Stegostoma tigrinum: one gene and its partners. The protein of the gene in region 3 purifies or fractionates together with the protein of the main gene of each other region. This does not show direct contact. Links are inferred from orthologs where the notes say so. Each region holds a gene or a part of one and is shown on either strand. Other genes may lie near its edges.

Region 1 (3,753 bases), on a different chromosome or scaffold from region 3:
CTACAGGACATTGGTTTGACCACTTTTGGAGTATTGCATGCAATTCTGGTCTCTCTCCTGTAGAAAGAATGTTGTGAAACTTGGAAGGGTTCAGAAAATGCGTACGAGGATATAGCTAGGGTCAGAGTGTTTGAGCTATAGGGAGAAGTTGAATAGGCTGGGGCTATTTTTCCTGGAATGTCAGAGACTGAAGGGTGACAATATAAAGGCTTATGAAATCATGAGGTAAGTAGATAGGGTAAATAGGCAAGGTCTTTTCCTGGGATTGGGGGATTCCAAAGCTAGACCTCTAGAGGGCAGAGGTATAAAGTCACGTAGGAAAGATATAAAAGGGTCCTAAGGGGCAGCCTTTTCATGCAGAGACTGGTGTGTGTATGGAATGAGCTGCCAGAGGAACTGGTGGAGGCTGGTATGATTACAATATTTAACAGACATCTGAATGGGTATATAAATAGGAAGTTTAGAGGATGTGAGCCACATGCTGGCAAATGGGATTAGATTTATATAGGATGTCTGGTCAACATGGACGATTCTAGTTCTGTGCTGTATATCTCTATGACAACATTCAACTTCTCCCCAGAGCTCAAACCCTCCAGTCCTACCAACATCCTGGTAAATCATTTTTGCATCCTCTCACGTTCAACAACATCCTTCCTATATTTCAGTGTTTTGTAGTGAGGTTACAGTGATAAGGGGTGAGGTCATGGAGGGATTTGAAAACAGGATGCAAATTTTAAAATTCAACTTTTGCAAAACTGGGGACCAGTGTAGGCTGACCAGCAATGGGCATTATTCTTGAGTGGAAGTTCATGCAAGACAGGACAGAGGCATTAATGTTTTGGAATATCTCAAGATTATGAATTGTAGGTGGGGAGGTGATGGTTTAGTGGTATTATTGCTCAACCGTCAACCCAGAGAGCTAGGTAACGTTCTGGGGACCTGGGTTTGAATCCCACCATAGCAGATGGTGGTATTAGAATTCAATTAAAAAAATCTAGAATGGAGAGTCTAACGATGACCACGAATCCATTTTCGATTGTTGGGGATAAAAAAAACTCATCTGATTCACTGACGTCCTTTAGAGAAGGGAAGTGCCGGCATGTGACACCAGACCCAAGGCGATGTGGTTGACTCTCAACAGCCCTCTGAGCAATTAGGGCTGGGCAATGAATGGGGCAATAAATGAATGCCAGAAAAACAGCATGAGAGGCCAGCCAGAAGTCTCTCTCCCTGTCTCCTCCCTCTGTTTTCTTTCTATCTCCACACGCCTATTCTCTGTATCTCCTCCCATTGCCCCCAACCTCTCGTTATCTCCTCCCCAGCCCCGTCTCTCTCTCTCTGTCCCGCCCACCCCCATCTGTTTGTCTGTATCTCCTTCCCCCTCCTCCTGTTTCTGTGCTGAGTTCTCTTCCTGTCTCTCTGGTTGTCAGCGCCATGTTACTGTTCTGACCGCGGATCAGCAACAAGTCTCCGGAGGAGGGCCGGACAGGAGCCTGCGGGAAGAGGTGAGTGAGACTGGGCACCGGCGCCGGGCCGGAGGGGAGGCTGTGCAGGGAGACCCCGGGGCCGGAGGCTGCCTGCCCGGACACTCCAGGCCTCAGTTTCCCCCTCCCCCGGACGGACCGGACCGTCACCGTCCGGCAGGTGTCGGGGACAGTGACCGTCCTCGGGCCCGACGAAACCACTCCGTATGGCGGATTCCAGCCTTGGATCGTTATCTGGGGCTGGGAATTAAAGGGCAACGACTGGGGCTTGGTTTGTGTATGAACAAGAAATGGTTATTGTTTGGGGTGTACGGGAATAAGTTCAGGCTTGTCATTTCAGTCTGTTTTCTGTTTTGACATTCACAAACGGGCAGCTTGGTCACTCAAGTTCACCGCAGAATCGGCGAGGCTGGTCGTTTTCCCAGGCTGGCCAGTGGCTCAGTATCTTAACCAGCTGGTCAATTTCCTTACAGTATTGTACCTTACCAGATTAGTGAGGACTTAGTACCATTTAAACACTGATCGTACATGTTGAAATGCTACAGTCAGCATACATGAATATTTCAAAATTTGGTATATTTGTATTGATTTTTAGAAAATATGAGCATTCCTGGGCAACATTGTTAGGAAAATGCAGACAGGTTTCTTGGTCACGGATCTTGTTCCATCAGAACAGGATAATTATGAGCCCTGAATTCAAGTCCCACGTGCTACAGAAGTGTGTAATAACATCTCTGAACAGGTTGATTAAAAATATCTACATCTGTGGCCACAAGGGGTCCTGTGGCATTTGACAGTGTCCTTACCTCTGGGACAGAAGGTTCAAGTCCTGCCTGTCCTGGGGGTTTGTCACAACATGTCTGAACAGGATGATTAGAAATAACTACACCTGTGTCCTCAAAGATGGGATCAGACTTGGCTGTGATGCATCACCTGTCCTTTAAGATGTCCCTCCATCCATCCATCTGCAAGGTTGGCATGTAGTATGTGGTCACTCATTTTCTGGCCTTACATGTGATGGAATATCCCCTCGTGTTTTGCTGGAGGTTCCACCACGTGATGAAACTGGCAGTTTTTTGTCATATTAGAAAAGTTCGGACATTTGAAGTCAAGTACCTTGGCTTCAACTATATAGTTTAAAAGTACCTTTTGTTATTAAATACCCATTTCTCACTGTTTATAGTGTAGGAATTTAGAATCCAAGATAGAGAATTCTTAAGAGTGGGAGTAACCGGTCATATATATTGTATTATTAAATTAACTAACCCTGTGAACTGCAAAATTTCTCCCCCTGCTATTTTGTGTGGATTTTCCCAAGTGAAAACATGGAAAAAGTGTCAAATGCTAAAAAAGGCATTGCTGAGCCTTTATTTCTATTTTGAAGTAGCTTACAGTAAGGCTGCCAGCAGCAGTTTTTCTGTGAACAATCACGATATGGAATCAATACAAATTGTGTTTTGTGACGTAGACAATACCTGCCCAGTGGAGGAAGTCTTGTGACATCATGAATTGAAATTTTATTTTCAGTGGCTTAACATCCTGTTTCAAATCCTGAATCTGGCTGAGTTTGTAATATCAGATATTTCCCTATAACCATGATAACCTGAAAGAATGATCGCCATTGTTCAGTAAATTATATAGAGTTCTCTGTGACGGTGTAGAATTGACTTAATCCACTCAACTGTCGTGGCAGTAGGTTAGTTGGAGCTGTCTATGGCTGTTGAATCGTTGTGGGAGGGGCAGGGTTGGAATGCTGGTAAGTTTTCAAGTGCTACTGATTTGGATATTTTGAGTTGTTAAAGTACCAATTAATTGACTCGAATGAGATTTGTAATGTACTAATGAAATTAGGCCTGTAGGTGTCTGAAACTGTAAGTCTAAAGTTGAGCTTGTTTTCTTAAAAATCATGTAAAATCTGAAAATTAGCCTTTTAAAGTGACTTCAAAGCTATTATTTTTCAATAATAATAACATAGCACAAATTGCAATATAAAACTCGTGGATAGAGTAATGATTGGTATTGGCAGAACACAAGATAATTTTGGCTGGATGGCTGATTTGCGATGCACTGTGATGCCAACAGCATTGGTTCAGCTCCCACACTGGCTGACGTTACCGTGAGCAATTCTGCTTCTCGACCTCTCCCTTCATCTGAGACATGCTGACCCTCTGGTTAAATCACCACCAGTCGTCTCTCCCTACTGAGATAATCCTATTGCCTGGTAGGACGACAGCAACTTTATGTTTGCTTGATTTAGACATTGGCAGGA
Region 2 (3,753 bases), on a different chromosome or scaffold from region 3:
TTCCTTATAGGACAACTTCTTCATCCCAGGTACCAGATATATCAAACAGTGATTGACCACATCCACTTGAAAAAAACTTGGGAATAGGACATAGCCCAATTTATTCTTAATTTTTGTAACTGGATGGAAGAAAATGCAGAATTGCCCCAGAAATGAGAAGAAATCCAAGGGCAATAATTTGAAAGCAATGTAGATATTCCAACTGAGTGCACATATGGTATGGGACAGAAGACGCAATGCATACAGATCAACTGTAAGCCACATAACAAAAACCCTTTGCCTAGGTCCCATCACATTGACAGAGAATTTAAGATTATAATCATGATTACTTTGCCATTTCAAGGAATGCAAAGGAATTGTGAAGGTAAGAGGTCTGACAATTCCCCAGATGTAGCTTGTTGATCTCTGGTAATTCCTCAGAGGGGATGTTTTCCTTAGGGATAGAGGAAAATCAAATATTTTACTGAAATGCAAAACTACACAATTCCTACATTTGGTCACAGAGCAAGGAAGATGTAGGTTGCCAACATGCTTCATCAGTTTGAAGCTCAAATGCACACTCTCATATATACAGGGGCCCATCCTCTGCAAACAAAAAGAATATGCTCAATGCTTGTGTCGCCTTTGAATTATCTGTAAGATCAGGGAACCTGTCATATCTTCATTGCTTTCTTCATGGCAACACCTGACTGTCAGAATCCACTTTCTATCCAATCAACACCCTTTTCTCTTGAAATATAAATTGCTGTGGCTGCTGTCATTCCTTTGACCTTTCAAATTCTATGCATCTGTCTCCTAAATTGAGGTATCCTTGCCTATGCTTTAAAGTAATTTACACATCTTTGTACTGTTTCTAAATCTATTAACTGGTTGTTAATTCAATTACTTGCTTCTTTGTGAAAATAGCAAACACTAGAACTTTTCACGTAATATCATTAGTTTTTCCTACCGAAACATTAAATTTAGTTTATTTCTTGCGAGATACCCTGAACATATGCAGATCCAAAGGAAGTCAAGTTCTTGGTCCTAAAATTTAGAGGTATGGTCCAGTTCCAAAACACTAACTGGTCTTCTTCAGATGCTCTCTCAAGATGATCCATAAAATTGAGAGGGAAAGAAACAAATTTGCATGTCCTCCCTTATTTTATGGAAGCATAACTAAAGTATCAGAACCAAAATAAAAAAACTCAGAATAAATCAATTTTATCATGGACCTGTTAGATAAATTTGTTCCCTAAAAACAAAACCTAATGCACATTTCTAGCATTTGGTATGCATTTCGGATTTACAAAGCAAATGTAAAATCAAAACATTTTCACCCTAACAGGACCATACCCGGGTTTACACTCCATCCAAGGTTCCTTCAATCCTTTCTTCTCTAACCCCCTCAAAAGATTGTCCTATTCCTTTTGTCCTCGCATTTTTATGAACTTCAGTTAAATTATTCTCAGCTATGCCTTATGAAAGTGACACAAACAGAAACTGCTGGCAAAACTCAGCAAGTCTGGCAACATCCCTGGAGAGAAATCTGAATTGTGTCCAGTGACCCTTAGAAACGTGAGTTTAACGTTTTCACCACTCTCTGGGCCAAGTCATTTTCCTGTTGGATTTATCAGTGACCACCTTATCTACATATGGCCCACGTGACCTGGTCTGAGCAATATGTAGAACCATCTTCTCGAAATCTGCCCTGACAAAACCTTTCACATTTATGAAGAACCTTACCAGGTCGTCCAAAGCTTTTTTTCTTCTCTGGAGAAAGCAGCCCCAAACCTGTTCAGTTTTTCCTGATAGTTGAAACCTGTCAATTATGGCTACCACCTTCAAAAAACTGCTCCTTTGAAAATGCAAAAGCTCAATTATACCTGTACCATTTTTGACTTTTACGACATAAAAACACTCAGTGGATGCTTTAAGCAAGGGAAAAGCGACAAGGCCTCTATTTCACGATAAGTATTCACTCTGTGGCTGTAAGATACCAAAGCAAACATTTCAATCCTAAGGTTTGCCTTTTTGAAGAATTACCCACCTTTTGTTAATTCATTTGCGTTATTTTTATAATTTACAGAAAACCCTTCATCGCTGGGCTTACGTTAGGCCTCATCCTACATTCAATCTATTTCGAAATGGGGAAATTAAAAAAAGATCACTACTTACCATTACGACTCTGCTTTTTGGGTGTGGTTTTCTTTTTATAAAAAGCTGTGTTTTATGGGAGTTTATTTCTTTCCCTTTGCCGGGACATATGATATTTTATTTCAGAGGGGACACTTTTTTTTCTCCCTTTCAGTCACCGCTGACTGTCAGAACCCGCAGCCCACCACCGCACATGCGCTAGCCTCACCCAAGGCACGCTGGGGAATGTAGTTCTTTCCATCCGCGCCCGGCCGTTTCCTCCTCTCTTTCCCAATAACACCACAATTCAAATCTATCACAATGCGTCCCTTTTGGAATGCTAAGGAAATATTTTTCACCGGGAGATGTTACTATAAAAACACAAACGAAGTCCCAGGTCACGAAAATGACTCTCAAGTTTGTCTCTTGATTCTAGCCATGTTAATCAAGCCTAGCAGTGACTCATCGACATTTAGATGTCTCACTAATCGAGGAATACGATTGCATTACAATTCATTGTAATGCTGAGTGAATTAAATAATGCAAAAGCTGTATACAGCTAGGGAGATGAGACTACAATTCCCGGCACCCTCGGTCACACCCAACTTCCGATCCGGCGCTGTCGCCTTCCACATCCCTCAGCTCCACCACCACCCTCAGAGCCGCCGGAGGCCTACAACCTAACGTGCTGGATGGACGCCGAACCTGATTGACGTGATCAATGTCCAATGGAATCCGAGTCTCCTTGGAGATTGCCCAATGGAAGCCTAGAGAGGGTAGGCGGGGATTTAAAAAAATGAAATCATCAAGCTTGGTTGGGAAAACAAACGACGATGGTGGAGGAGCGAGGGGGAAGGGGGTGAAAAAATGTACTCATTGTCGTGAGGCCAGTTTTTTAAAGTATTATTTTGAGGGGGATAGTTGAGGCGGCAATTTTGAGTGAAAATCGGGCGGGGCCTATCGAATGGTGTGTGCGGAGGTGGATTTTTGTTGATGTTTGACTAATTGTTTGACGATCGGGAAGGAGGAGGAAAGAAAAATATATTTGTCTCTTGGAGGAGGAGAGATCACCTGACCCATCGAATCACTGCGCCTCCATGGCGGCCTGAGAAGCATCATGGGCGATGTCTACTCCTGGGGGGAATCTAGCAGCAGCAAAGAGAAAAAGTTGTTGAAGGGAACGAGTACGGAAGAAATATCCGCCATTTCTGTCCGGTCATAGATTTGCAAGAGGAACGAGAGCAAAGAGAAAGCAAAAGAGAGGGTTTGGGGAAAAAAACCACATTACTTTAATCCACATACATTCCCTATCCTCCAAATCTGTCCTGTGATTCCTTAGGAAAACAAGATGTCTGCTGACCATAAATTTTAAGATAGACCCAGGAACAAACCTGTGTCTATTATTTGCCTCATCTTGTGGAAAGAAAGCAAAGGTAGGGAGATGTTTTATTTTCTTTCTCATCTCTCACGTTTCCATCTACAATCTCTTTTTCTTCCCATTGAGTGGATCTTTAATTTGTATTCTAAACCTGCTCTTTCTCTCTGATTTTGGCCTCCCAGCATTTATTTCGTTGGAAATATTTCGGGGGAATTTTTGCTGGTGTCTTTTGGTTTGTACATGTATTTTGAGAGCAGTCA
Region 3 (3,753 bases):
AAGCTCTACCTCATGTGTATGTACACAAAGCACTGACAAAAAAGTTACTCCACATTCAGAAGTAGTCCTCAGAAGCAAGTATATTTAATTCACAACATTCCATAACTTTGAATGGAACACAAATTCAGGGCCAAGCCCTAACAAACTTTCAACTATCTTAGAACCAAGAACATTACAAGTTGGTTAAGTCTGTTAATTCTTTTCCATCAGTGAATGACAAAGGTTTCACCAGATCTGAAGTAATATATGTCAGAAGATAGGCATGACGATATCAATGAAAATAAAAAGCCACACACATAAAGTCGCCACAGCTTGTAAACCAGGTCCAGCAGACATGAATCAGAATCCAACAGTCTGGGCAAATAATCAGTTCACAAAATTAATTTTAAAAAAGTATCTCTCTAACTGCATATACCTCACGGACAGACAGAAAGAATGATTTGAGTTAGTACGGCAAGTATAAAAATCTTTCATGTACCAAAGTTGCCTTCAGCACCAAGGAAATCAGTCTCCTAGTTGACAGGAAAACAATAATTCGGGTCTAAATTGCTTCTCCCACACTCATCTCAAGAATGGAAAAAACAGAAAAAGTTGTAAATACTGAAAAGGTTGTTAGCCTAAAACATTAACTGCTTCTCTTCCTGCAAATGCGACCTAAACCGATTCTGCCAATATTTGCTTTTATCAAACACTGATATATAACCAAAGATCCAGAAGTTTCACTTTATTACCTACCATCTCGTAATTCAAGCCGCTGTGTATATACATCAATATAAGAGCACCACATGACCAATACAAAACTGCAGCTCCACAGTGAATCCTGCATATCAAATGTGAGAAACAACATTCTTGTGCTCAAAACTGCTCCCAGCTCACGAAGTAATATTACCAGAGAGAATCTCTCATAGACCACTACAATGCCAAAATACAAACGATATTGTTTGGTACAGACCCAACTGCAGCAATGCTCAATCGCCTTTAAGACGTCTGCCAACGTCGAACAATGCACATCTGAGACCATAATCCACTGTTGGAAGGTTTAGCTTGGGCTAATATTTCTTGTAATTAGTACTTACTCTACAATGCCTGTCTCATGCTTATAGCAAACTGCCTGTCTGCCTGACATATGGTCAGAAACTTCAAAAGCTAAATTAACCTCAATCATATTCATGATGGAGCTATTAGGATTATTCCAGGCAAAGGAAAAAGAAACATTAGCCAAGTTTCCTGATCCGCACAATTGTCCAGTGACCCCTGCTGGTTGTTTATACTTTGTGCGGATTTTTTTGTATAGATGTCAGGCTCAGTTCTGAAAACCCATCCCTGTCACACAGCACAACAATCACCAACGCAGTTTCCTAATCTGAAGGATGGTCACTAGTAGAGTCATTTCAGGGGTTCACGGTGCCTGTGAAATTCCAGCAAGTTGTCACATTCAGGAAAAGACGTCAAAGGAGTCGGCTGAAAATAAAACCCTGTAAAGCTTCTACATTGCGCTTTCGGGCTATGAACAATTTCTCAAACAACTTCGATTTCTTACACTGTCCGCTGGAATGAAAGACAGCAGGAAAACTCTAGATCCATGCCCCAATGTGACAGAAGGCGATGCAAACACTGGCACCAGCCTTCGCAATGTCTAAGGAAGTCTATATATGTGAGGGAAGGGATGCCAGGCTTCTGCTTGGAACACTGAAAGACAGTGCAGCAAGCACAGACCCACCAAGCCTCCACACTGCAGGCTGACTGTAAACAAACAGCAGTTGGAGGGAGACCCTATGCTCACGAGCCACAGTAAGAGAAGGGAAATAAGGGGACGTGCTCTGCATTCACAGACGAGGAAGGAGCGGGCTCCTGGAACTACTGCAAAGCTGGTGCTGGCTGGGAGCCTCGGCTTGCCATTCAGACTCGCAACCACCTCGTATTCCCACCCGTCGCCCACCTTCATCCGCTCGGATTCACCCCAGCCGCGGCCTAGGCGTCTCTCCATTACCCTTCTCACTGACAGTGAAATTATACGAAACCCCGCTCCAGAGGCTTCGGGCCTCGGCGGGGAGAAGATTCAGCCTCTGCTGCTGCTGCCGCCGCCGCCGTCCCCCAGGCTCTCCCTCCCTCACCAACACCCCAGCAGCCGAATCATTCTCGGTACCTGAGTGAGAGAAACAAGCGCCGCCATCTTCGCCGCGGAGCAGCACCCGCGCTCAGACCGGGCTTTTGGTTGTGGTTGGGAGTGTTGGTGAAACGCATGCGCGCACGGGCGGCGTCCGCGCACGCACACAGCCGGGGCGACGAGCCTGACGCGCCGCCTGATCACCAAGGGGGTTCGCGCGCGCTGCACGAGCACCGATTGATGTTGCCTTTTGCCATGTGTTTCCAGAAGCTGCTGTCAAGGCATTGAACCACTTGAGGAAGCAGCGTGTCCCATTCTCAGTAAAGCATCACTCTCAAAAACCGGCTTCGAAAAATAACAAATACACAAATCATCCAGAAGCAGAAAAGAACATTGATACAAAAACAGAAAAAGCTGGAAATACTCGGTGTTCAAACAAAAGGTCGTTAACCTAAAATGTTACCTCCGTTTATTATCTCCCCACTGCTGAGCATTTGAATATTTCCACCAAGCTGTGCACTGTGATGGTTACATTTAGCATCGGACACCTCGTGGCGGTATGTGCAAGTCCATCCACCACTAATTTCGCATTTGTCGATGTTCCAAGACCGCTGTTAAAATTCTGAAATTTTCTACCCTGTATCATGGGTGGAGCAAAATCACCCCAAGGACTACAGCAATGCATTCAGAAGGTCCCCCAACACCACTTCAGGGCATCCAGAGAAGGATATTAATGATCAAAGGATACTGTGTCACCCATAGGATTAGGAAGAACTGCCCATCTAGGTCCGAAACGTCAGCTTTTGTGCTCCGAAGATACTGCTTGGCCTGGTGTGTTCATCCAGCTTTACACTTTGTTGCCCTATTAACCACATTGTGTTACCCACCTCCTCAGAAGTGACATAGACATAGAAGCAAAGTACTGTGGCACCTGAAAACCTGAATTAAAAACCTAAAATTACATGGCGCAAAAATTTCAGCAGGTCAAGTAGCCAATCCTGAAGTAAGTAATATTCAACTAAAAACATTAGTGCTAATAATGTATTTATTAAGTGATAGAAGCATCAGAAAAGATGTCACAAGTAATTTGCAGAATCCTCAGTGCCAGATTGAGGAAATCTCAGTTATTTATAACTGTTTATTCCTGTCTGTCACAAAGGCAAAATGGGTGGACCAGTCCATGCCTTACAAAGGAAGTATGAAATAGTATCCAATCCAAGGAAGAAGCATACAGAATGGCCAAGAATAACAGTAAATCTAAGGCATGGGAGCAGTTTAGAATTTAGCAGAGAAGGACCAAGGGATTGATTAAGAAAGGGGAAAATACAATACAAAAGTAAGCTTGCAGGGAACATAAAGATTGATATTAAGAGTTTCTATAGGTACTTGAAGAGAAAGAGATTGATAAAAACAAATGTAGGTCCCCCTACAAACAGAAACAGGGGAATATATAATAGGGGACAAAGAAATGGCTGAGCAACTGAATACCTACTTTGGTTCTGTTTTCAGAAATTACGACACAAATTAGACACCAGAAATGTTGGAGAAGGCAAGATTTAGTTAGAGGGAAGAGCTGAGGGAAGTCAATATTAGCAGAGAAATGGTGCTGGGAAAATCCCTCTGATTGAAGGCAGTTAAATCCCCAG

The links.
Region 1: the proteins of eps15l1a (region 3) and intersectin-2-like purify together in Homo sapiens (affinity purification with mass spectrometry; 5 studies listed by BioGRID and IntAct, with this or other methods). This does not show direct contact. The link is inferred for Stegostoma tigrinum from reciprocal best matches to the Homo sapiens genes EPS15L1 and ITSN2.
Region 2: the proteins of eps15l1a (region 3) and ap2s1 purify together in Homo sapiens (affinity purification with mass spectrometry; 4 studies listed by BioGRID and IntAct, counting the BioPlex papers as one, with this or other methods). This does not show direct contact. The link is inferred for Stegostoma tigrinum from reciprocal best matches to the Homo sapiens genes EPS15L1 and AP2S1.

Annotation. Positions count from the first base shown.
Region 1 is NC_081357.1:74,094,468-74,098,220, forward strand, and holds the start of intersectin-2-like, read left to right. Parts: upstream 1-1,350; 5' UTR 1,351-1,505; intron 1,506-3,753.
Region 2 is NC_081392.1:11,812,196-11,815,948, reverse strand, and holds the start of ap2s1 (AP-2 complex subunit sigma), read right to left. Parts: upstream 2,343-3,753; 5' UTR 2,161-2,342; coding exon 2,158-2,160; intron 1-2,157. UniProt on the Homo sapiens protein: Component of the adaptor protein complex 2 (AP-2). Adaptor protein complexes function in protein transport via transport vesicles in different membrane traffic pathways.
Region 3 is NC_081383.1:43,284,784-43,288,536, forward strand, and holds the start of eps15l1a (epidermal growth factor receptor substrate 15-like 1), read right to left. Parts: upstream 2,235-3,753; 5' UTR 2,174-2,234; coding exon 2,147-2,173; intron 1-2,146.